7 linked regions of the Bombyx mori genome follow. The protein of the gene in region 2 binds, or shares a complex with, the protein of the main gene of each other region. Links are inferred from orthologs where the notes say so. Each region holds a gene or a part of one and is shown on either strand. Other genes may lie near its edges. The genes, in order: armadillo repeat-containing protein 7, BUD13 homolog, pleiotropic regulator 1, 116 kDa U5 small nuclear ribonucleoprotein component, pre-mRNA-splicing factor ATP-dependent RNA helicase DHX16, splicing factor 3B subunit 5 and protein crooked neck.

The links.
Region 1: BUD13 homolog (region 2) and armadillo repeat-containing protein 7 share a complex: the UniProt entries of both Homo sapiens proteins name them as parts of the minor spliceosome. The link is inferred for Bombyx mori from reciprocal best matches to the Homo sapiens genes BUD13 and ARMC7.
Region 3: BUD13 homolog (region 2) and pleiotropic regulator 1 share a complex: the UniProt entries of both Homo sapiens proteins name them as parts of the minor spliceosome. The link is inferred for Bombyx mori from reciprocal best matches to the Homo sapiens genes BUD13 and PLRG1.
Region 4: BUD13 homolog (region 2) and 116 kDa U5 small nuclear ribonucleoprotein component share a complex: the UniProt entries of both Homo sapiens proteins name them as parts of the minor spliceosome. The link is inferred for Bombyx mori from reciprocal best matches to the Homo sapiens genes BUD13 and EFTUD2.
Region 5: BUD13 homolog (region 2) and pre-mRNA-splicing factor ATP-dependent RNA helicase DHX16 share a complex: the UniProt entries of both Homo sapiens proteins name them as parts of the minor spliceosome. The link is inferred for Bombyx mori from reciprocal best matches to the Homo sapiens genes BUD13 and DHX16.
Region 6: BUD13 homolog (region 2) and splicing factor 3B subunit 5 share a complex: the UniProt entries of both Homo sapiens proteins name them as parts of the minor spliceosome. The link is inferred for Bombyx mori from reciprocal best matches to the Homo sapiens genes BUD13 and SF3B5.
Region 7: BUD13 homolog (region 2) and protein crooked neck share a complex: the UniProt entries of both Homo sapiens proteins name them as parts of the minor spliceosome. The link is inferred for Bombyx mori from reciprocal best matches to the Homo sapiens genes BUD13 and CRNKL1.

What each region holds. Positions count from the first base shown.
Region 1 is NC_085121.1:11,321,589-11,325,771, forward strand, and holds the start of armadillo repeat-containing protein 7, read left to right. Parts: upstream 1-1,383; 5' UTR 1,384-1,536; coding exon 1,537-1,645; intron 1,646-2,188; coding exon 2,189-2,359; intron 2,360-3,786; coding exon 3,787-4,037; 3' UTR 4,038-4,183. UniProt on the Homo sapiens protein: As a component of the minor spliceosome, involved in the splicing of U12-type introns in pre-mRNAs.
Region 2 is NC_085130.1:5,568,591-5,572,835, forward strand, and holds the start of BUD13 homolog, read left to right. Parts: upstream 1-1,445; 5' UTR 1,446-1,583; coding exon 1,584-1,684; intron 1,685-2,216; coding exon 2,217-2,400; intron 2,401-2,510; coding exon 2,511-3,699; intron 3,700-4,245. UniProt on the Homo sapiens protein: Involved in pre-mRNA splicing as component of the activated spliceosome. As a component of the minor spliceosome, involved in the splicing of U12-type introns in pre-mRNAs.
Region 3 is NC_085129.1:1,617,528-1,621,781, reverse strand, and holds the start of pleiotropic regulator 1, read left to right. Parts: upstream 1-1,454; 5' UTR 1,455-1,683; coding exon 1,684-1,799; intron 1,800-2,086; coding exon 2,087-2,214; intron 2,215-2,688; coding exon 2,689-2,925; intron 2,926-3,344; coding exon 3,345-3,431; intron 3,432-3,953; coding exon 3,954-4,039; intron 4,040-4,254. Other genes in the region: uncharacterized protein LOC101740918, read left to right, coding at 1-431. UniProt on the Homo sapiens protein: Involved in pre-mRNA splicing as component of the spliceosome. Component of the PRP19-CDC5L complex that forms an integral part of the spliceosome and is required for activating pre-mRNA splicing.
Region 4 is NC_085121.1:1,473,641-1,476,602, reverse strand, and holds the end of 116 kDa U5 small nuclear ribonucleoprotein component, read left to right. Parts: intron 1-1,671; coding exon 1,672-1,864; intron 1,865-2,271; coding exon 2,272-2,425; 3' UTR 2,426-2,462; downstream 2,463-2,962. UniProt on the Homo sapiens protein: Required for pre-mRNA splicing as component of the spliceosome, including pre-catalytic, catalytic and post-catalytic spliceosomal complexes. Component of the U5 snRNP and the U4/U6-U5 tri-snRNP complex, a building block of the spliceosome.
Region 5 is NC_085110.1:11,482,215-11,485,714, reverse strand, and holds part of pre-mRNA-splicing factor ATP-dependent RNA helicase DHX16, read left to right. Parts: intron 1-58; coding exon 59-195; intron 196-631; coding exon 632-2,195; intron 2,196-2,855; coding exon 2,856-3,258; intron 3,259-3,343; coding exon 3,344-3,500. UniProt on the Homo sapiens protein: Required for pre-mRNA splicing as a component of the spliceosome. Contributes to pre-mRNA splicing after spliceosome formation and prior to the first transesterification reaction.
Region 6 is NC_085126.1:5,965,730-5,968,052, reverse strand, and holds splicing factor 3B subunit 5, read left to right. Parts: upstream 1-1,215; 5' UTR 1,216-1,375; intron 1,376-1,480; 5' UTR 1,481-1,486; coding exon 1,487-1,744; 3' UTR 1,745-1,823; downstream 1,824-2,323. UniProt on the Homo sapiens protein: Component of the 17S U2 SnRNP complex of the spliceosome, a large ribonucleoprotein complex that removes introns from transcribed pre-mRNAs.
Region 7 is NC_085124.1:5,696,892-5,701,156, forward strand, and holds the start of protein crooked neck, read left to right. Parts: upstream 1-1,465; 5' UTR 1,466-1,628; coding exon 1,629-1,667; intron 1,668-1,740; coding exon 1,741-1,926; intron 1,927-2,271; coding exon 2,272-2,387; intron 2,388-3,277; coding exon 3,278-3,434; intron 3,435-3,528; coding exon 3,529-4,265. UniProt on the Homo sapiens protein: Involved in pre-mRNA splicing process. As a component of the minor spliceosome, involved in the splicing of U12-type introns in pre-mRNAs.

The sequences.
Region 1 (4,183 bases), on a different chromosome or scaffold from region 2:
ATTTGTAAGGGTTGTCAACTCGCAGTACTGCGATATATAGGTAGGTGCCATATAATTATTTATATGGACCGAAATGATGAATACAATCCATAATTTAAGCACAATACACAACATAGTGTAAATTAAGCTGGTTTCTATTCTGAAGCGATGTGACGTGAATGATAATCAACAATACAATGATCAAAAAAAGTATGTGCATGTTATATTTTAGAAAATTATTATTTAATTTCCTTAAAAATCACAACTCTGAAACAAAATCATAAAATAGAATAAAAAATAGAAAACAAAAGGACTGGAAATGCAATAATACAATTTTATTTAATCAACATTTTCAAAATAATCTTTGAGCAAGAGTAAGATATCAGGTGAATAAGATAAAAAACCGGCTTTATCTGATTACTGCCAATAATAACAAAAATAAAAGAAATTCTTTCTAAGCGAAATAACTAAACTCAATTAATTCACTCACTCATAATTGGATATCTCGGATTTTTAATTAATGTTACATTTAAAATCTGAGGCCTGTTTTTATTTGTGTGTGCGTTGTGAATGTTAACAAAATCATGATTCGACGCGTGAATAGATTATGAAATAACAAAAGTTTTGATTCGTTTGAGTTCTTTTAACTTTTTTTTTTTTTTATTGCTATAAAGAACATACGACCGGGCAGATGTTACAAGGTAAATGTCGCGAAAAAAAAGTAATTATATATATACTTTTCTTTTACCTATAATACTTACATAAACTAACTGATAAACATATTAACCTTCTTTACATCACGCAATTAAGTGATAGTATAGGCTAAAAAATCTATTATAAGATATCAGTGACAACCCTAACAAGCCATCCCTATTTTGTCTTTTGGCGTTCCAATTTTGTGTTTTCTCGTCCCTAATTTTTCCAGTCTCGTTCCAAATTACCCTACAAACGTCCCAATTTTCCCCAAAAAGGAAAGAAAAAATATACATTTTTTATTTTGTCGAAATATTGTATTTAAAATAAGAATATTGCAACTTACCGTTTGTTGTGGTATTTCCAGGTGTATTAAAAACTTATATAAACTGTGATCTTATTGAAAAAACAACGATAATATTACTTTTTTTAAAAGTTCTTTAAGCTGTTTTAAAACGCACTTTTCAACCACTATTTTCAATTTAATTTGACGAATTTTTGGGACCAACTTAACTCATATTTAGTACTTCTATAGTTAACTTGGTTTTTCTTCTATACATTGACAAATATTAACATAAACAAAATTAGGTAGATTCCGTGCTACAGGTACTTTGAGAATCTTCCGCAGGTTTGTCCCAATTTACCCCAGGATCCCAATTTACCCCATGTCATGGTAGATAAAATGTTCCCTTCCGCATGTCATTGTGCCACCTGTCAAATGTCAAAAACAACAGAGAAAACTGTCATGGCGTGTCAATTGAATTATTGAATCAAAGGAAAAATAAGGAATGTGTATTTACTTTAATGAAAGTGGTCCAGTCAAAGTAGGATTTTTTCTATAGCCTTTTAAGTTACTATAATTTAATGTTCAGTTCAAGAGCACACTTACAAAAACGTACCCCAAAAGATGGTACTGATCGCGAGGCATATTTGTCATTATTAGTCGACGAATATTTACACTCAAGTTCCTATGGTAATAAAATATACATGCAATATCTATTTAATTAATTTTAATGCGATTTACGTATGAACTTTCACAATTGCCATTAAAGTTTTTACTTTTAAAAATCTTAGATAGTTAGAAAACTATTGCATAAACAAGGGCGACCTTAATGCTAAAGAGTACTCACAGTACAGCTAGCCCTATTGCGTTTGGATAATGGTATTTTTCGTTTTAATAAAATTAAATTGTGTATGTGACTTATGGGATATGATTATAGTGATTTTAATATTTATATTTTATATTTATATTTATTGTATCATACATTAGTTTTTTTTCTTCATTATTAAGTAATGTGCATGAAGGTTTGCTCTGTTTCTGAATAATTAATAACATACCTGTTGGATCTTTTTCACAATTTCTCTAGATAAAAAAGGTTGTTTAGAAGAGATGATTGTGTGACACAATGATGATTGTGTTTTGGTGTGTAGTAAAGTAATCTATCTCTCTCTATCTCTGTCTCTCCACGGCTCTCTCCATGGCACTGCAATTTGTTAATGTTATTTTTCCTTACAGAAGCAAAGTTGCAAGTTTTAGCCAATTTGGCAAATTTTGCATATGATCCTGTGAACTACTCATACATTAGAGACGTTGGAGTACTAGATATATTCTTGTATGTGCTGAAGAATGAAACTATTGGTAGATTAATAAGGTATGCCATTGCGGGTGTCTGCAATTTGTGTTTAGGTAAGCTGTTGATAACAATAGATGAATAGTTTTCTCAAATTATTATAAGTTCAATTAAACTGTCAATTTTTTTATGAAAACTCTTATAAGAAAGAACCTGTTCAATAAAAGTATTCTTTATATTATTATGTACAATAATTTATTTAAGATTATCAAAGTAGCTCTATTTAAATTTAATTAAATACTTGAACTATTTGAATATTTGTGAGTGTTGATAAGATGTGATTTAGTGCATTTTAAAGTAAATTAAAATTGAAAGTGCCCAATAATATGTAGTGAGCTTGCACCGTTTTCTTGTAAATGTTTTAAGTGCAATGCTGCTTATACCAAATAGCCATTTTCCCCTCAATATTGTGTAACTGTCCCTACATACCATTAAATTGGAACTCTCTTTATTATATTGGAAAGTCTTAAGCCCATTAGACTGAAATGGTTTATTAATGTTATATCTGACAGTAGTACCAACACATGCTGCCACCACACTACTGACAGTATTCAAGATAATAATTAGAAGAGTAAGGAAAGTAGTAATTAAAAAGTAAAAAAAATTTGATTCTGATTCTCAATAATATTTTCATTAAGAAAGAATAAAATAGCAAATGCATTAATAAAATAGCAATAGACCCGACTACCGACTAAACCCCATCGAGCTCCACTACTCCGACTCCACGAAACCTACGGTACCGCACAATGCGCGCCGCAGGCTCGCCGTCGCCGGTACCCGTCCTGACAATAGGACGGGATCCAATCCCCGGGAAGATCCCGCAGGAATAGACTAGCAATAGAATAGCAATAGACCCGAAATAAATTATTGCTAAAAAAGAAATTAGTAATACTAAAGATTTATCAGTCATTTTGAATCAAACATTTTGAAGTCGTTGTGGTCTAAAGGATACTCCGTTTGGTGCATGCGTATCTTGCGATGCATTGGTGTTCGAATCCGGCGGGTATCTGGCGGGTATCTGGCGGGTACCAAATTTTCTAATGAAATACGTACTTAACAAATGTTGACGATTGACTTCCACAGTGAAGAAATAACATCGCTTAATAAAAATGAAACCCACAAAATTATAATTTGCGTAATTACTGGTACCTATTGTGAGTCCGCACGGGTAGGTACTACCACCTTGCCTATTTCAGCCGTGAAGCAGTAATGCGTTTCGGTTTGAAGGGTGAGGCAGCCATTGTAACTATACTGAGACCTTAGAACTCATTACAAGGTGGGTGGTGGCATTTACGTTGTAGATGTCTATGAGCTCCGGCAACCACTTAACTTCAGGTGGGCTGTGAGCTCGTCCACCCATCTAAGCAATGTAAAATCCCAAATTTAGAAAAACGCTAGAATCATCTTTAAAAATTTGACACTATATAAAATCATATTGCTATTTCACATTTCACATGTTTATGTAAGAATTATCACTTTTCAGATCCACTGAATGCAGACTATATTTTAACTCACTTGGGATTAAAACCTTTGTTTCGATTATTGAAGTCAAGTGATACAGACACTGTAGCTGATACAATAACGACATTGATATATATGTACAATGAGAAAACAAAAACTGAAATAACTGATCAAGACGTTATAAATATGATGTCAAATTTGAAAACTACGCAGGATTTGAGGATCGTCAATTTAGCTACAGTTTTTCTACAAAATGTGTGTAAGACCACCTGAATAGTTACATAAACGAACTTCATAATGAACAAGATGCTCTCGAATAGATTCCCCTATATTATTGTGAACAATAAAAATTATCAAAAAATATGCAAGATTCATACCACATCCTTCAGCAACACAGCTTTTAAAGCTGGTGATAAAAT
Region 2 (4,245 bases):
GCGGGAACGCGAGGAGTGAAGTTGTGATTTGTTTTATTTTGTTGTTTCGGGTTTAAATGTGTAATAACGGTGATTTATTAAAAAAACCTCTTGTGGAAAAAGTTGGAAAATATTAAACTACCCACGGAAATAAATAACATTCTAAAGTTTTGGTATGGGAACCAGATCAACAATGTGCGATGGGCTGGGGCTTTGTCTCTTCCATATAGGTTGGAGTGCGGGGTGAGACAAGGCGGGTTGAGTTCGCCTACGCTCTTCAACCTGTATATGAACGAGCTGATCGGCGAGCTCAGTAGGACCAGGATTGGTTGTTTCATAGACGGGGTGTGCGTAAACAACATCAGCTACGCAGACGATATGGTGCTGCTGAGCGCGTCTATCTGTGGCCTAAGGCAACTTGTTTCTTTGTGTGAGGGATACGCCAAATCACACGGTTTGGTGTACAACTGTAAAAAGTCGGAGATCATGGTCTTTGAGACCAGGGGTGGGACGCATGATAAAATACCTCCCGTAGTACTCAACGGAACGCCATTGACAAGAGTTTATAAATTTAAATATCTCGGCCATGTGTTGACCCCTGATCTCAAAGATGATGAAGATATTGAACGAGAGCGGAGAGCGTTGTCGGTTAGAGCAAACATGATAGCTCGCAGGTTTGCACGGTGTTCACTTAAAGTCAAGGTCACCCTCTTTAGGGCCTACTGTACTAACTTTTACACGTGCAGCTTGTGGGCTGGATATACTCAAAGATCGTACAATGCTCTCCGTGTTCAATACAATAACGCGTTTAGGGTGCTGGTGGTGCTGCCCCGCTTTTGTAGCGCATCAGGGATGTTTGCAGACGCGCACATAGATTGTTTTTACGCTACCATGCGTAAAAGGTGTGCATCTCTGGTAAACAGAGTGAGGGCCAGCTCCAACAGTATCCTGAGCATGATCGCAAGCAGGCTGGACTGTATATACATGGGTCGCTGTGGTGCCATCTCCCATGGGATGTTACCACAGTAATTCATTGTGATGTAAATATAAATACTAACATAGGTCTAAGTCTTATTAACAATTTATATGAGTCATGGATACTTGAAATAAAAACATTATTATTATTATTATTATTATTATTAATGGTTTAATATCTGTGAAAGTGCACAAATGAAACAAAGCCGCTGGACGTAGCTTCTAGGGATCCTCCAAAAAGCCCACTAAAGAAGTCTCAGTAAATAACCACCATTTTACTGAGATTATATTTCATCCCATGTTATCTTATCTCAATTTATTTCATTTCATCTCAGTTGATTAATGTCTCAAATTAATCATCTTCATTTCATTTTATTTCATTTGACTCCCTAAATCATTTTTCATAAAAATAAGAATTTAAATATAAAATAAGACATGACCCAAAAGTCTTAGTTACCAGGACATAAAATCCCTTTAAAAAAAGTGTATTATGGCTTTGAAACATTTGAAAGAATGTTGATTTGTGACATTTGTGTTTGTCTAAATTGATACCATAGATAATACACATAATAATATAAAGTTCGTCAAATTAATTTTCTAAATTAAATAATTTGAAATTTTATTTAATAATGGCTACGACTGTAAACCAGAAAGCGTACTTGCAAAAATACCTGGCTGGTCCATCGGGCGATAAAAAGAAAAAGAAAAAAAAAGTGCTAAAAGGAAAAGGGTAAGTCAACTGTAGACAATGTGAACAATAATTGAAATTAAACGTGAAAGAATTTACTATTTCTAAAAAAAATACCTTAAATATCTACCGTTTTGATATTTACAATTGTATTTTGGCATTATATTAAAGTGCTGTCGTCACACTAAAATGCATTTTAAAATTGAAAAAAAAATCATGTACATTTTCACGTATTCTCCTTACAAGTTATTGTATTTTAAGTAAGTATTGATTATTTGTATAATGAAATACATAACAAATGCGAATTAATTTCAAATTTCTTATTCCTGTCAATATTTTCATTCAGTATGGATGAATTTTTTGGTTGCTTAAGCATGTTGTTCTAATAAGGTTCGAACAGTACATTAACTATATCATCACTCTCGGCTCATCTTCCTTCAAAGACGCAAACGTCAGTTCCAAATAAAGAACAAAAAAAAATTCTTTCATTAGTGAAAGATACAGATGACAAATAACCTTACCTGTTGAAACACTAAAGTGAATATAAAAAATGTATTTTCTCATCTAATTTTAGGTTCAAAATAATAGACGATGACATTGACCTATCGAAGCTACGACCCCTTGAGGGTGACGAGTTAGATGTGTATGATGAAGGTGATGACGCACCGCAAGTAGCAGGTATCATCGATGAAAGACCAGAGCATATAAAAAAACAGGAACAATTCACCACTAGTTCTAAATGGAAGATCGTGAATCAGGTACACATGTTTATTACTTTATTTTTACTGTCAAGCCTTCAACATATTAAAAAACCATTCTAATAGAAATCTTATTCATCGATTATAACAGACACCGAAAATCGTTACAGGATGACGGATTCAACAGCAAACTACAAATTGAAGAGATAAAGAAAGATGTAAAGGAAACCGAGAAAGAAAACGAATTGGTCTTTGGAAAAATGTACAGTGATTCCGAAGATGATAAGCCAAATGTTTCAGAAGCTTCGCCGTCTGGAAGAGCTAAAAGCAAAAAAAAACACAACAGTGACAGCGACTTCAGCCCACCAAGAAGAGGGAATCCAGTGAAAAGGAATAATTCTCCTAAAAGAACTACTGAATATGATTCTGATCTTTCACCACCTAGAAAGCATGAGGGTCAGAGAGCTGAAAAACTTAAAAAACCAAGTCGTTGGGACAATGAGAAGGATAAGTCACCAAAGTCTTTAAGAGCTAATAACCACAGAAGATCTAAGAGCTCTGATTTGTCTCCTCTAAGGAAAACCCAAATGAATAAGATTTCTTCAGGACAAGATATGAAAATTCAAAAAAGATATGATGTGACATCTCCCAGAAAATCTAGAAAAGATGATTCAAAACGAAATAGACTTAACTCAGTTTCACCTCCGAGGCGAAAAAAATCCCCAGAGAAATCTAAATTTGGTCACGATAACAGACAGAGCCAGTTAAAAAAGTATAATGATACAGATTATGGTTCGAGGTATGACAAAAGATCTAACAGATCAAATTCAGATTCTGATATGTCTCCCCCAAGAAAGAGTAAGAGACAAATCTCAGAATCTCCCTGTAGAAATGTTCCACTAAGAAAAAAAACGAATGATAGTGATTCAGATTTATCTCCTCCCCGTAAAAATATAAGATATGCAGAAAACAAGTCCTATAGGAATGTAAGCAAAAAACCTCACAGGAGGAATGACACAAAAGACAGTGGTTCGGATTTATCACCACCGCGAAAGCTTAAGAATATAGATAACTACAGAAGGCATGACTCTGAACGTAAAAGAAAAGACAGAAGTTCAAAAAGAAATAATAGCGATTCTGATCTTTCTCCTCCTAGGAAAGATAGGTCTAACAAGAATGACAGTCCCCCTCCAACCCATAAAAAAATGGAGAAGACTTTGGAAGGAAAGAAAGCAGGATTACAAGATGCCAAGCAGCTGAGGCAAGAAAACGATGACTTTAGAAAGAAAGAAGAGGAGATGTTTAAGAAAATGAAAGATGATGTTTCAGGCAGGAATGCTCAAGTTGTGTCAAGGAAAGGTTAGAATTATTAATATAAAATTTAATTTAAATAATAAAAAAAAAGAATATTACACATATCTACGGCAATCTAATTTAAAATTATAAGTAATCTTTGTTACTTAATCTTACTTTATTACTTATTCTCTATTACTTTAGTACTTAACAAATGTTCACGATTGACTTCCACCATGAAGGAATAACATCGTGTAATAAAAATCAAACCCGCAAAATTATAATTTGCGTAATCACTGGCGGTAGGACCTCTTATGAGTCCGCGCTGGTAGGTACCACCACCATCCTGCCTATTTCTGCTGTGAAGCAGTAACGCGTTTCGGTCTGAAGGGTAGGGCAGCCGTTATAACTATACTGAGACCTTAAAACTCGTATCACAAGGTGGGTAGCGCATTTGCTTGTAGATGTCTATGGGCTCCAGTTACCACTTAACTTCAGGTGGGCTGTGAGCTCGTCCACCCATCTAAGTAATAAAAAAAAGTTACATAGTTAAAGTCAAAATAAATATGTGAGCATTCATTGTTCATGGAACATATTTTTATACAAAAATTT
Region 3 (4,254 bases), on a different chromosome or scaffold from region 2:
GTGGCTCCAACGCATTATACGGTGGCCCGGCTCTGGATTCACGAGTGCTGTGGGCGGCCCTCACGCCGAGAGGCACGAGACACTTTGTCGCCGACACTTACCCGCACGACGATACGGAGGACCACCACTACGAGTGCGTCGAACCCCCTCTCTACAAACTCGGCCCACCCGAAGACTTGGCCATCACCCGTCACTTCAATGTTGAATACGAAGACCCGGCGCCCCTGATAGAAAATTACAGCGATAGAGCTGAGGACTACTTCCGTAACGGTATCGAGACGCTGCGCAGAACGAGACCGCTCGTGTCATCGCCAACCAGGATCGAACGCCCCAACTTGCCTCCTCTGAACCTTCAGCCGAGGACGCTGCGCCGCGCGCCCCACTCCCGCCGCGTTAGCGACGCTAATAATCCAGAGAAATCGGCCATCTGAACCGAGAGTGGCGCGGTATTCTCCGTCGCCGATACAACTGAAATCGATTACGATTGGCAGTCGATTGAAAATTCGAACGTTGACCGTCTCGTTTAACAACCGTACTATTGACTCTTGTTTCACTGAGTGTAATGCTTTTTTAGTTTTGAAAAATCGTCGTCGAAATTTCTGGTAGTTCAGTGATTAACATTCGTTCATAAATACTAAAATGCTCTTTTACGGTAATTGTGTGTTTATGTAAATATTGTGTATGCACTTATTAAGTATTCCAAGTCTGTGTGTTGAACAGTACAATGTGCTTAGTACCATTTGTATGGAGTTGGAACAGCGCCTTTAGCGGCAAACGCAGAGTAACTGCCCCAGCTCCATACAATTTTGAGTAACTTTTACACGATCGAGAAGTTAAAACAACTCGCACCAGGCACACTGTACAATGTAAATAATACTTTGGAGGATGTTTATTGTATGTAATTTAACATAACAAATAGCTATCATTAAATCAATAAATATTCGAAAACTAGTGAGCAGCTGTATCTAGTCTAGTTTCTAGTCTGTAAGCACAATTTCTAGTCATGTTCGTACCTACTTGTGAATTTAGAGGTAAATATAGATATAGTCCACTGTGTATTTTATTGAAAATCAATTCCACAATTTTCTTCGCAATGAATTTTTATGCTCGAATTTTGTACTTATGAATAAAATCGACGTTGTGTAAACAGTGTTTTTTTCATTTCTAGGAGCAAACTCTAATTAAATTATTGATAAAATTCTGAGCCAAATCCGTACTTTCTATCCGTCACAACAAGCATAAACAACAAACAATAAATTTTTTCTTCAAATACCCTTTAGTATTTCAGCTCAATAAGAGGAATTTAAAATGTTTGTTTTAAAACAATTAAAATGGTAATTTCAAAAAATCATAATAATTATGTTTGTTGCAGGCTAATCGAGATTTGCATTCATTTGCCCAAATTTTTTATTATCTGTACAGTGACACTTGACAGTGACGCTGCTCATACCGTCCATTTGACGTTTGTTTGACGTAGGATTTATTTTGTAGGAAAGTTGTTGCTGTTTGTTGTCGGGTATTTCTTGGTCTCGACACCGTTAAAACCAAAAAGCTTTTCGTAAGAATCATAAGGAATATGCATTAATTAAAAATAAAATTGAATTTAAATGCTGATTTAATATTACAAGTTAATAGTATTTCGTATTCTTTAAGTAATTTTAGACATTAATTAATAACTTCATAATGTCTGAGGACGTGATTAAACATTCTGTACACACTTTAGTGTTTCGATCGTTGAAAAGATCGCACGATATGTTCCTAGCTAATCAAGGAATGTTGCCGCCAATCGACGATAAAGCGTAAGTAAAACAGAATAATATTATTTGAGGTTAGTTTAATACAAGTCCTAATGGAAATAATCGATGAGCTATTTCAAAGATCGGTACAATAGACAAACTAAGCGATTTGTTGTTCCGTATCAAAAAATTTCTGCTAAACCTTTAAAACTTTCTACTGTACTGGAGAAAACCTTTATGGGAGCAGACAATGTTGTCAAGGTAAATAAATTAGAGGAAAATGTCACGTTATGTATAACTACATAAAACACTAGAGTAGATAATTATTATTTATAATTTTACATTAACAGAGAGAAAGTACTGAAATTGGTTAAAGCAAGAGATAGTTACGGACAAGTCATGGGTGCAGTGCGGAAGGCTCAGGCCCTGAAACAACAAGAGTCTGTCACCTGTAGACCTGAAACTCCACTGACCACAGGTAAAAACAATTAACAAACTCCTATATACGGTTAAGCGCTTAGGCTCAGGATAAATAAAACTTCCACTGAAGTACATATTAAAACTCTATTTAAAACTAAGAACACTTACCAAACACTTTACAATTCGTAATTCACTTCTTCCGCTTCGCTTCAGGTGATCCGTTTGCTGTTTCGCTTTGAGTAGATCCTTTTAATAACTGCTTTCATGTCATCTCTGCAACGCTTTTATAGTCAATACGATATCTCTACAAAAATCGAGAACATTCCAGAAATATGGATCAAATACAGAAACAAAAAAAAAATTATTCATTTTTATGGAATTTTTTTTACAACAAAGTTGCATTTTCGTTATGATAAAAAAACAGCAAGAATTTAGCTGTGGACCTCATGAGTTCTATGCTCATTACATTCAATAAAAAATCGGTCCAATACTCCTTGATATTGCAATGAAATAAATCGAATGTTTTCTTTAGCAGAAACAGTGGAAACTGCACCTTTGCCGTCGGAAGGGGCTGTTGTCCCATACTCTGGACCAACACCTTCACCGTCACCAGCTCCCCCCTCGGGGGCTTTAACTGTACCACGGAAACCGCCGTCTATGCCCAAACCAAAATGGCACCCACCCTGGAAATTAATGCGTGTTATATCAGGTCATCTGGGTTGGGTTCGATGTGTTGCTGTAGAACCTGGAAATGAGTGGTTTGCTACCGGTAAGTAAAATTATAGAAACCACATACAGAGCAAACTAATGGCATCTAATATGCCAACATTTAACTAATATATTTAATCCTTTTAGTATAAATTAGAAGAAGGATATGTGGTAAGAATTATAATTACAAATTTGTCAATCTTAAAAATTTTATTAATATAAAGTTTGATTTTTACATATTAAATATACTTATTTATAAGACTTTTTTATCAATACAACACAAAACATAAACTTTGACAGTTAGATAATCAATATATTGTATTTGTGTAGACAAGCTGTTGTCCTATGAACGGTTGAAAAAATAAACTTGATTTATGATTAAAGTTACTTCATTTTTCTGTTATAATGAACTTTTAGCACAACCATTACAATAAAACCAATCCTAAGGAATTAATCTGCATGATGGTTTTGATATTTCAGGTGCCGCTGACAGAGTGATAAAAGTATGGGATTTAGCAAGTGGGAAACTAAAAGTATCTCTCACTGGACATGTGAGTACAGTAAGAGGTAGGTGCGCACACTTTTTGTATTCATGCAAAAATCAATGCTTGGTTTTCAGATTTTGAATAATGAACGCATTTTTCTTTTATTGCCCAGACAAGCACACTGCCCACCTGATGGTGAGTGGTTACCGTCGCCCAGGAACTTCAGTAATGCCATGGGCTTAGCCAAGCCGCTGCCTACTAAATTAGTAATTTTTTTAGCATCATCAGCCTGCGGCAGTCTGCTGCTGGACATAAGCCTCCCCAAAGCTCGCCACTAAACCCAATCTTCGGTTCCTTAATTAATTTAGTAATTTTTTATTTTAGTAATAGTAGACATTTTTAATTTTTTCAAACTTTTGCTGCTATGTATATTACAGAATTACATAACAAGTTCTGATCATAATTTTCACATTAACACAGTTCTGGATATTTCATCATGTTGTACGCACAGAGACCGTAGGTTGAGTCTATGTTAATTGTGAAAATCATGATCTAAGAATCCATCAAGTACCAGTATGTGTAATATGAATATATTCTATTTCAGGAGTGGTAGTGTCACCAAGACATCCATATTTATTCAGCTGCGGTGAGGACAGACAGGTGAAGTGCTGGGACTTAGAATATAACAAAGTGAGTTATTGACCTATAAATAACAAAAAAATATAGGTTAAATGATATGTCTTTAAATATATGTAAAGAAAACTTTTATTATTTAAAACTATTTAGATTTTAAAAAGGATTTTTCTTCAGTGTTATTCAGTGTCATGGAGTGAAGTGAAAAAGAGAGTTCAGTTTTGTATAGTTTATTATTAATAATATGTACTGTTTACTCTTTAATTGAGGTT
Region 4 (2,962 bases), on a different chromosome or scaffold from region 2:
GGCAACAAGATTGTTATAATTCTGATTACAACCAGGTTGCTCACTGCTAGGAGTGGGTGATATAAATCGTATATAGATTCAATATCTATATATCGCAGCAATATCGTTGAATCCGATATCGCCCCGCACGAAATCTATATATCGATATCAGCCGATACACGATATTGCTCGATGTGATGCGCATCGCCATATCGGACCGATTCGTGAATCGAAATCTATATTTCGATATCAGCCGATACACGATATTGCTCGATGTGATGCGCATCGGCATATCGTACCGATTCGTTAATATCAGCAATATTCGTTTGGTTCGTATCGAATCGGCCAGAGTGAGTGAGCGCACGATAGCGATATCATGTGATGAATGAAACAGAAACAGGCATTATCCATACAATTGTAAACCTTATATTTAAGTCCATATGTCTGTAGATTATTCTAAGCGTATCAGCAGGATACAATTAAGGAAAGAAGTTTCAACTTTCGACCCTAACTTGAATGCAGTATAGCCTATTTGCATCGTTGAATTTAATTTCACGCGCTTTGACCTTGAACTAGAATTTTTGGACAAGTGTTTATAAATACTTCAAAGTTTTTTGTGTTTGATTTTTAAAGTACACATTTTTCTATTTTTAGTTAAATCCAAATAATTGAGTTTATTTCTTGTGTTTGTATTAAACTTTTGAAATCTACACTCTTTTGGTATATTTTGTAATTTTAAATTAAGACACAAAATACTAAAAACTGAAAATAATGTAGCCAGTCCTAAGCCTGGTAAAAGCATGAAGGAAAGTTTTTTTGATATTTTTATTTTCATGTTCTTTTTATTACTTTAAGATCATATTATAAATTGATATCAGAAAACCAACCGTATAACGTTGACTTAAATACTACGATATTATATCGGCGTATCGTTTCAAATCTCAAATATCATGAATCGAGAAAATCTACCAGCATCCATCAATATATAGATTCAGAAAATATATAGATTCAATATCCGATATTGATCCTCGATATATAGATACGATTCGATACGCGGCAAAACCGATATTACCCACTCCTACTCACTGCGCACGTATCCGCAATTGTGCCCGCACAGTGCGGCGACCTTAGCGCAAATGCGGTTTTTCCTTTAAATATATACATACATATTATGTATATGTAGGAAGATCGGTATTTTTTTTGATCAGGTTCACACTGACACATTAGAATTATTTTAAAATAAGAATAATGAAAATTACAGTCATCGAATGACATGACGAGGTAAGGAGGGTTTTTTTTTGGAAAATAAAAAATTTTGGTATGAAAGTCCACTAGATTTCACTCTACCGTCCCACATTATATACATGTTGTAATATATAGTGCTGTTGATTCCACCGACTGAGCCGGTCATCGGGGTTTTCGTCGAACCCGTCGCTTGCGACGAAGGGCTCGGCGAGTAAATTAACCCACAGACACAGCCCACTGAGTTTCTCGCCGGATCTTCTTAGTGGGTCGCGTTTCCGATCCGGTGGTTGATTCTACGAAGCACAGCTCTTGTTAGGGATCGTGTTAGCAACAACGTCAGGTTTGAGCCCCGTGAGCTCACCCACTCGCCCGGTGACGCTGATATGGTCTCACAAGACTATCAGCTTAGGTAGAAAAAACCGACTGAGTCTGTGGCTCGTCGCGCAGGTCACGTGACCCAGGACGCTCCGGTCCCCGGGTCGCCGCTCTACACCATCAAAGCGTTCGTCCCGGCCATAGACTCGTTCGGCTTCGAGACCGACCTGCGCACGCACACGCAGGGCCAGGCCTTCTGTCTGCAGGTCTTCCATCACTGGCAGATCGTGCCCGGCGACCCGCTCGACAAGAGTATTGTTATCAGGTGAGTTGTCTAGTTTGGATTGTTTTATCTATCTAATTTATAAAAATGAATTCCTGTTCGTTAGTCTCGCTAAAACTCGAGAACGGCTGGACCGATTTGGCTAATTTTGGTCTTGAATTATTTGTGGAAGCCCAGAGAAGGTTTAAAAGGTAGATAAATAATAAATGCTCGGAATTAAATATAAATAAAAAAAATGTTTTCTTTTTCATGTGTCCCCCGTCGGACGGATTCGTTTTGTTTATTTTAAGTTTATTTTATACAAAAGCTTAGGTCTTTTATTTATCGATTGAGGCACTACGAAGTCTGCCGGGTCAGTGTATTGACGAAGATAATGATATTTATTATAAACGAATCTGTATCAGCAGTGAATGATAAAATCATATTTAATTCATTTTTTATTTATTTAGGCCATTGGAACCACAGCCAGCGACGCATTTAGCCAGAGAGTTCATGATCAAGACCCGTCGACGCAAGGGGCTCAGTGAGGACGTGTCCATCAATAAGTTTTTCGACGATCCTATGTTGTTGGAGCTGGCAAGACAAGACGTACAACTTCATTAATTATATTTCTGATTTAATAAAATTTACCAAACAATTATTTTGGTATTTGTTTTTCATTTTACGTGCAAAGTTTTGATAAAATTACTGAACAATAACATAATATATATGTAGTGAAAACATATTATTATAGTATGTAATACATAGATTAATTATTATAAATCAAAACTAAAAAACATTTGCAGTTGTATGTGAAACTTTTGGCGTTATACTATTCATTCTATATATTTTTTATTAAATCCATTAAACCTAGAGGGAGTGCGCGGTACTTTATAAAATTGCCAAACGTTAAAGCCGGCAGAGGTGACATGTTAATATTTGTCGCATTTTAACGATTTATCCTAGCGATTATACTACTCACAAAATAAATCCAACAACATACTAATGTTAGGTAGTTAAGCCATAAGTTTCTCGGCTAATCTAAATTAGTAAAAAAAAATGTATTCATTATTCAAATTGTTTTACTATTTTGTCATGTTCACGTTTATCAAATTTATCGGTAGGTGCCTAACAGTAGAAACATAGTTCAGAATCGGCAGT
Region 5 (3,500 bases), on a different chromosome or scaffold from region 2:
GCATTTGGTTAAAACAAAATTAATAGTTTAAAATGTGTCATATCATTTGTCTTTATAGCCTAACAAAAAGAGAAAAAGAAGAAAGGGAACACAAGAAAACTTTATTACAATTAGCTAAAGAACATGAAAAAGCAAGAGAGTTAGAAAATGTTCAAAGATATCATATGCCTCGGGACTTGGGGAAAGGGGAAAAAGGTAATTATCCAAAATTACAAAGAAACCTTTCAAATGAAGAACTAAACAAAGCTTCAAACCTTAAGAGAAATTTAATTATGTAAAATATTTAATTATGTATTTCAAATTATGGGATGAAAAAAACTTAGCTGACGTTAATAAAATGAAGGTTTAAATTATGGACAAAAAGTTTTTCAAGCTATGAACAAAATTTCTGAAATATTTTCATTTTATTAATGATGTTGTTTGGTAAATCATATAGAGTTTAATTGTGAAGTTTCAAATATTCAGTTTGGTCTTAAATTTCTATATTGTTTATTTCTCATCCAATACTTTCATTTTAAAATTTCAAAATTTACAAATCAACAAAACAAAAGAAAATAATTAAAAAATTGTAATCAGTAATAAATTATTTGCTTGTACATCTTGTATATAACCTACTAATTGTATATTACAGGTGAATATGTTGAAGTTGATGAAAATGAGAGGTTGCCACATTCTGAACAGCAAAAATGGGAACAAGAACAAATTAAATCTGCTTTCTTTAAATTTGGTGCAAAAGATGCTAAAGCTACAAATGAATATGATTTATTACTGGATGAACAAATTGATTTCATACAGGCTCTTAAAATGGAAGGTTCTGAAGACAAAAAGGAAAAGTCAGAAATATCAGAATATCAAAAAATTCGAATGACCATTGAAGAAACAAAAAAATCACTTCCAATATATGCGTTTAAACAATCACTTATTGAAGCCATACAAAATTATCAAATTCTAATTGTAGAAGGTGAGACAGGATCTGGCAAAACAACACAAATACCTCAATATCTCCATGAAGCTGGTTTCACTAAAGATGGGAAAAAAATTGGGTGTACACAACCTAGGAGAGTAGCTGCTATGTCAGTTGCTGCAAGAGTTGCACAAGAAATGAACGTAAAACTGGGAAATGAAGTTGGTTATAGTATAAGATTTGAAGATTGCACATCTGATAGAACAGTAATAAAGTACATGACAGATGGAACTCTTCATAGAGAGTTTCTATCAGAACCTGATCTAGCCTCATACAGTGTAATGATCATTGATGAAGCTCATGAACGTACCTTACATACAGATATATTATTTGGTCTTGTAAAAGATATAACCAGATTTAGACCTGATTTAAAATTGCTTATATCCAGCGCAACATTGGATGCTGAGAAATTTTCAACATTCTTTGAAGATGCCCCAATTTTTAGAATCCCGGGAAGGAGATTTCCTGTGGACATCTATTACACAAAGGCACCCGAAGCAGATTATGTAGATGCTTGTGTTGTATCAGTATTACAGATTCATGCCACACAACCTCTTGGTGATATATTGGTTTTTTTAACAGGACAAGAAGAGATTGAAACATGTGTTGAAATGTTACAAGAAAGGACGAAGCGTATAGGCAAAAAACTGCGCGAGCTTTTAATATTACCAGTATATGCCAATTTGCCTAGTGACATGCAAGCTAAAATCTTTGAACAAACTCCTGAAGGAGCTAGAAAAGTCGTTCTTGCTACAAATATAGCTGAAACTTCATTGACAATTGATAATATTATATACGTAATAGACCCAGGTTTTGCCAAACAAAACAACTTCAATTCCAAGACTGGCATGGAAAGTTTAATTGTTGTTCCCATTTCTAAAGCATCAGCAAATCAACGAGCTGGACGAGCCGGAAGGGTTGCTCCTGGAAAATGTTTTAGATTGTACACAGCCTGGGCATATAAATATGAATTAGAAGATAATACTGTACCAGAAATTCAGAGAATAAATTTAGGAAATGCAGTTCTCACTTTAAAAGCTTTAGGCATCAATGATCTAATACATTTTGATTTTTTGGATCCACCACCGCATGAAACATTAGTTTTGGCTTTAGAACAACTTTACGCTCTGGGTGCACTTAATCATCATGGAGAGTTAACAAAAGCAGGCAGAAGGATGGCTGAATTTCCTACCGACCCCATGCTCGCGAAAATGTTGTTAGCTAGTGAAAAGTAAGTAATGTAAACATAAGTCATTCTCTCATAACTAACTTTCATAATGAAGGATTAACTTCTTCTTTTTCTGCATCTTACTATCAGCCAACAGCTCAACACTCACTACTCTCTCTCTCTCTCATATCGTCATTCACACACTCCATCCGTCTTCTTCGATCGACCTCTTTCCTCTCTACCTTGCACTACCAATTCCGTACATCTCCTAGTCACATGCATCTTCTCTCTACGCATCACACGTCCATACCACGCTAACTATCCGCTTTTTAATTTGTTAATTACCGGGGTTACTTTCATACTTCCTCTGATATACTTATTCCTCATCTTATCCATTCTTGTCACTCCACACATCTATCTCAACATTCGCATCTGGAATGAAGGATTTACATTGTGTAATAACCTGGTAAATTTTATAAATTTGTATAATGACTAGTGATAGAGCTGTTGTGGAGATATCGATAATTTTATTATAACTAATGTACAACACAATCAAATCAACAAAACTTTTATTCCACACTTTATACTACAGACTTACAGATTGTGGGTGAAGAAGTAGTTAGTAGCTGATAAATGCGAACGCGTCCACTCATACCCTCTAATTAAAAGCAGTTCAGATTGTCTCAAAATCACTTTAATTCTCACATTTTTCTTGTCTTACAGATATAAATGTTCTGAAGAGGTTGTCACAATTGCAGCAATGCTATCAGTAAATAGCTCCGTCTTCTACCGGCCTAAAGATAAAATAATCCATGCAGATACAGCAAGAAAAAATTTCTTTCATCACAAAGGAGATCATCTGACAATTATGAACTTATACAATCAGTGGGTTGCTTCAGATTATTCGGTGCAGTGGTGTTATGAAAACTTCGTGCAGTATAGATCGATGAAACGAGCTCGAGATGTTCGTGAACAATTAGTCAGCCTGATGGAAAGGGTAGAAATTGAAATGGTTACAAGTTTATCTGATGATACTAATATAAGAAAGGCTATAACGTCTGGTTATTTCTATCATATAGCAAAATTTTCAAAAGGTGGTCATTATAAAACTGTAAAACATAATCAGGTAACGAAACTTAAAATCTTGATAGTTAAAATAATGTTTTTTTCTTTTTCTTATAAATCTATCCAAATATATTTATTGCTTTCAGACAGTTATGATACATCCTAATAGTGCTCTATTTGAAGACCTTCCACGATGGGTGATTTACCATGAGCTTGTATTTACATCTAAAGAATTTATGAGACAAGTCACCGAAATTGAGAGCAAATGGCTACTGGAGGTAGCGCCTCATTATTACAAATCAA
Region 6 (2,323 bases), on a different chromosome or scaffold from region 2:
ACGATATCAACGTACCCTAGAGTGTACTTTGTAAGTACTCTAAGTTGATATGTAACTGTGAGCATAGAAAATACACTTAATTAAAATACCTGTGAGCTTAAGATAAGTGGATGAGGAGAACCGCAGACCGGGCTCAGTGGTGTGGATTGGGAGAGGCTTATGTCCAGCAGTGGACGACTGTGGGCTGTTGATGATGATGATGATGATGATGATGAGCTTAAGATTCCATGATAGATGCAGCTGATCTAGCGTGGTTGTAATTATGTATATCTCACGGGTTTTTTTTTATTGCTTTGGTGGGTGGACGAGCTCACAGCCCACCTGGTGTTAAGTGGTTACTGGAGCCCATAGACATCCACAACGTAAATGCGCCACCCACCTTGAGATATAGTAAGTTCTAAGGTCTCAAGTTTAGTTACAACGGCTGCCCCACCCTTCAAACCGAAACGCATTACTGCTTCACGGCAGAAATAGGCAGGGTGGTGGTCCCCACCCGCGCGGACTCACAAGAGGTCCTGCCACCAGTAATTACGCAAAATATAATTTTGCGGGGTTCATTTTTATTACACGATGTTATTCCTTCACCGTGGAAGTCAATCGTGAACATTTGTTTAGTATGTATTTCATTAGAAAAATTGGTACCCTCCTGAGATTCGAACACCGGTGCATCGCTCAACACGAATGCACTGGACGTCCTATCCGTTAGACCACGACGACTTCTATCCTTCCTTTACCTTTTTTTACTTTTTATTTTATCTTTTATTAACCTCTTTGCTTTAATAACTTTGTTGCGTGAGCTGTAGAAGTGTAGTTAATAGTTAATTTTGTTAACTTACTGTTTTTTTGTTTGTTGAAACGTGCTATTAATGAAAAATTGTAACCGTTTAGTATCTCTAAAAGTCCACAAGTATAGGAAAATGTGACAACACAGCTGTACTCAACTGTTTTGGTCAGCATTATCGGCAAACGAGTATCTGTCCCACTTAATAATAAGTGGCGATCGTCTCTGATGAACGTCAACGTCAGAAGCATAGACTAAGACTAATTCCACTGCCGGGGCTCTTCCCAAGCTTCGTTAAAAGATGAAAGCTTATTTCAAAACCAGATGATATGTAAACAGATCTAAGAACTTACTGTGAAAGATGCAGTGAAAGAAATAATAAAAAAAACTGTGCACAACCTTTGGTGTTTAGATTTCAACGTTAAGTATTGTATCTATGGTTTAGATACGCCGTGTCTGCAGTAATCTGCACTGCAATTTATGTATTGTCTATGAATACTCTTTGTTTTGGGCTGCTACGTGATATCAATATTAGCTGAATTAGAATATAAACTTTAGAGTCTATACGATTTCAACAAGCATCTTGCCTTTAAAGTAAGTGTGTATATTTTATTAGAAACGTTTTATTTATTTTATAACCATTTAATTTTACATTAATGACATTACTAACTCGAACTATAACCTTAAAATAATTTACAGAATAAAATGGGTGAAAGATACAACATTCACAGTCAACTTGAACATCTACAGAGCAAATATATAGGCACAGGCCACGCCGACACTACAAAATATGAATGGCTTATGAACCAACATCGCGACTCTTGCTGCAGTTACATGGGTCATCCGGATTTGTTGAGTTACTTTGCGATCGTAGAAAATGAATCTAAAGCGCGCGTAAAATTCAATTTGATGGAACGAATGCTTCAACCATGCGGCCCACCGCCAGAAAAGCCTGAAGATTAAACGCTTCGATTTTAAAAATAGAATTAAGCTAATTTACTTATTATTTGACTTTGAATCCCTTATCATGACATAAATTCGAGCAGTTTGTTTTCATTTCTATAACCTTTAACAAACACAATTAGTCTATTCAAATAGTACCACCAAAAACTCAACTATTATCAATAAAAACTACAAATTTTAATAACAGGTATAGTTTATAGTTTAGAATTGGTTCAATGGTCAAATGTTTGACAATCTTATTTTTATATACAAACTTGTTTCATATTGTTTTATCTCAAAGAAATCAGTTTTGATTTCCATTTAGCCTTATATATATACAGTCAAAATCTGTTATAACGACATCGAAGGGACTGCTCATATTCAGTCGTAAAAACCGATAGTCGTAACAACCGGTAATGTTTAATGTGTATCGTGCAAGTACAAACAAATCGATAGGGAATTATTGGAAAAATATATTTACAAAATACGTGATTTTTCTTCAATATTAATTTGTTTTCTTTTTCTTTGCGACATTTTCAAAGTTTCACGAATAACTCCACAAAGTTTTGGTGCGTTTTATGTATAGATAAGTAATAAACT
Region 7 (4,265 bases), on a different chromosome or scaffold from region 2:
AGTGTCTATGGTCTTCCTGTTTAATTTAATTTCTTATTAAATACGTTACATTTGTTCCATTTCATTCTTCGTACAATATTTTCAGCCTTAGTTACAAAATATTTGCTGTATGGCCTAGTTACTTTTGTCTGTCCAATAAACGAACTAAACATTCTCTGTGGTTCGATGGCTTAGTTTACATATTACGTGTATTATCTGTGCTATTTATCATAGATACCTACCTACTTGGCTTAAAAAACTTTGTTTCGAAGCCACTAGAAATTTATAAAAAAAAATCTACCTACTACCTACATATCACTACTAAAGATGGGTTAATACCGATATTTGTCAATATTAGCGAATACGAATATATTCATGATGTAATATTATAATAACTTAACTAATGCGTGAATATATCCTGATATCTTAATATACTTCGATAAAACGGGTAAACGAGTTAACCGAGTACGGTATTCGTGAAATAAGTTAATAATCATAGATAATACACATAAATTAGTTATTAAATTAATATAAATAGTATACTGTATCTAGGAATTTGATTTCATACTAAATATTTTACAAGTAATATTATGTACATTAATATGAATATTATTATTAAACCAGAATTTGGTCAACATTGTACATTAATATAAACAACAAGTTAGTAATATTATTTATTTCTTATTGGTGCATAAAAACATCAGCTTTTTTACTTTTTCTACCGAATGACCGGTACGTCGCTCAGAAATGAGTATTCCAGATTTCGAAAAAATCCTCTGATACGGTACTGAGGTGGCTAGTAGGTACACAACAGTTATATTAATAGTATAATCCATGAACCGTTTGGTTAGAAAGTCATTTCGATTCAAAAATCAAACTTTTATTTATAGTTTGAGAAGTTCTTAGAAGATAATTAACTACTACCACAAAAATATATTGTCATCATAATTTATTACATATAAACATTTAATGAAAATAAAGCTCACCGATTTTATTCCAATAAATGTGGAAATGCACTATTTTGTCTTGAGTCGAATCTTTAGTACAAACATAAAAAGTAATGCATTTAAAAATTCCCACTGGCATCTTTGACATGTAAAAAGTGCAATACAAAATAGTCCTTAAACTCATAGCGAAATATAGTTATTTTCATTGCTCAGTATATAAACATGTAGATTATCTCACTTACTCTTAGCGCATGCAGTGCATTGATATGAATGTGATAAACAGATATCCGCGAGACACGTACGGCGTATGTCAGTATATTTTCGTGTGATAGATATTTCGCTAGGAGTAACAGTGTTCTGTGGATAGATACAACCCGACTGATGTGAGCTGGCTATTATTATGAATAAGTGAATACGGAATATTAGCATATCAGAATTCGACGGATTACCGATAGACGAATACAAGCTGTATTACGAATATCTTAGTGAATGCTAATATATCGGTATCACCCTTAACCACTACCTACCGTATTCACTTCTCTTAAAAATGTGTATAATCTATGCTTCTCATTTTGACAATAAATAAAAAAAAAACCTGAAGATTTCCTTTCCTGTACTTAGCTGTTTATTGTATGTAATCAAATTAAATTTAGGTTAAACTGAACTAAAAAATTATAAACTGTGCAGAACGTAGAACTTAACATGGACAGCAAGACAACAAAAATGCCGAAAGTGGCAAAGGTACGAAAAAAGTGTTTGATGGTATTGTTGAATAATATTACTCCAATTTTAACATGGATCTCACGATTTTTAGGTGAAGAATAAAGCACCAGCAGAAATCCAAATAACAGCTGAACAATTACTTAGGGAAGCCAAAGAACGAGACCTTGAGATATTACCACCGCCACCTAAACAGAAAATATCTGATCCTGAGGAACTTCGAGACTACCAACATCGTAAACGTAAAGCATTTGAGGACAACATAAGAAAGAACAGACTTGTAAGTAAATTCAATTTATTAGTCGCTTACAATGTATAAATGACTGTTTTTCCTATTAATGTAATTGTTTCTCAGTTTTAAGACCATCCAATGCTTAGTTTTACTAGCTGATAGAGTTCACCAAATTAATTTCATTAATTGATTTCGTGCCATTACGATCCTTTGAACAATATAGGTTTCATGCTGTTTCCACAATAAGAAGGGTACTAAACAATTTCTACTCAGAGCATTACTGACGAAAACCAGATGAGGATACTTTTATTTAGTAGTATTTCTTCAAGAAAACAACAAATAATATAATAATATCGAATTTTAGTTTAATGGATGCTTTGTTTTTGTTTTCAGGTTATTGGGAACTGGCTTAAATATGCACAATGGGAAGAATCACAAAAGCAAATCCAAAGAGCTCGTTCAATATATGAGCGTGCTTTGGATGTGGATCACAGAAATGTTACCTTATGGTGAGAGCTATCATTACAATTAACAATTTTATTTGAAAAATTATTAACTTATGTGCTCTTGGTACTGCCAGTGTTTAAACCATATGACTATTTTAAAAAATGTTTGAGAAATCTGTGGTGTTAATTTTTTTTTGCATTCTTGGCTCATCTGATAGTAATTGTTAGTCACACTACTGAGTACTCTTTGTAAGCCTCATTTGAACAAGGACATATTGTTGGATCACTCAAGACATGGGCTTTAGAACAAAATTCATGTCACAGTGAAGAAAAAAATTAATTCTTAAAGAGTTACCATACAAAGATCAGCTTATAATAGAACATATAAAAAAGATTCCTATGTCACTCTGTTCACATTACAATTTTATTTGGTTAGTAAACTTGTAGACAATTGTGGACGAAATGTTAAGATGTTTGATATACTTGTAATGACCAATACAACTATACTAGAGTTCATAGCCTTTGTGCTACCTAAAGCCCAATATATTTAAGGAAATACATACCCGATATGAAGAAATTTCATAAGTAAATAAGAACAAAGTGTCATTACAAAATTGATACTCTATTAATGTATTGTGAACTGGCATGTAATATATCATCCTGCCTATTTCAACAGTTATGCATTTGGTTTGAATTGTCCAACAGTTGTTTTATAAAGGAATTGAGACTTCAATCTCAAATTGATGCCTATTTAGTCCAAGAGCCACTTATTTAACAAATAAAACAATCTGTACTTTGAAAAATCTGTAAAAGTCATGGACTTTCTTGGTAAATTTCTTACAGTTTTAACTGTTAAATTTGCGTCACTCTTCAATTATCCACACTACCTTAACTACCTGTACTTTAGGCTGTTATACCACACCAAAATATTCTCAGCGTATCATGGGTTTTAGGCTGAAGTATACTGAAATGGAAATGAGGAACAGACAGGTAAACCATGCCCGTAATCTATGGGACAGAGCTGTTACAATTCTGCCAAGAGTATCTCAGTTTTGGTACAAATATACTTACATGGAGGAAATGTTGGAAAATGTAGCTGGAGCAAGACAGGTGATATTTTTTATACATGTACAATTTCTCGTATAATGATAATAGTCACTGACTGTAACTGAAACAAGGTTTCTAATTTACTTTTGTTTCACAGGTATTTGAACGTTGGATGGAATGGCATCCAGATGAGCAAGCTTGGCAAACATACATAAACTTTGAATTGAGGTACAAAGAACTTGAACGGGCTAGACAAATCTATGAACAGTTTGTTATGGTGCATCCAGATGTAAAGAATTGGATAAAATATGCAAAATTTGAAGAAAACCATGGTTTCATAAATGGCTCTAGGACAGTTTTTGAGAGAGCTGTTGAATTCTTTGGTGATGAAGAATTAGATGAAAGACTGTTTATAGCGTTTGCCAAATTTGAAGAAAATCAAAAAGAACATGACAGAGCAAGAGTGATTTACAAATATGCTCTGGATCATGTCCCAAAAGACAGAAATAAAGAACTTTATAAAGCTTATACTATTCATGAAAAGAAGTATGGTGATAGATCTGGCATTGAGGATGTAATAGTAAATAAGAGAAAGTATATGTATGAACAGGAAGTTATAGAGAATCCCACAAATTATGATGCATGGTTTGATTATATTAGATTAGTGGAGAATGAGGGTAATTTAGATGACATAAGAGACACATATGAGAGAGCAATTGCAAATATCCCTCCTTCAAAGGACAAACAATTTTGGAGGCGTTATATTTACTTGTGGATTAATTACGCTTTATATGAAGAGTTAGAAGCAGAAGATTTAGATCGAACAAGACAAGTTTACAGAACCTGTTTAGAATTAATTCCTCATAAGATATTTACTTTCTCAAAAATATGGCT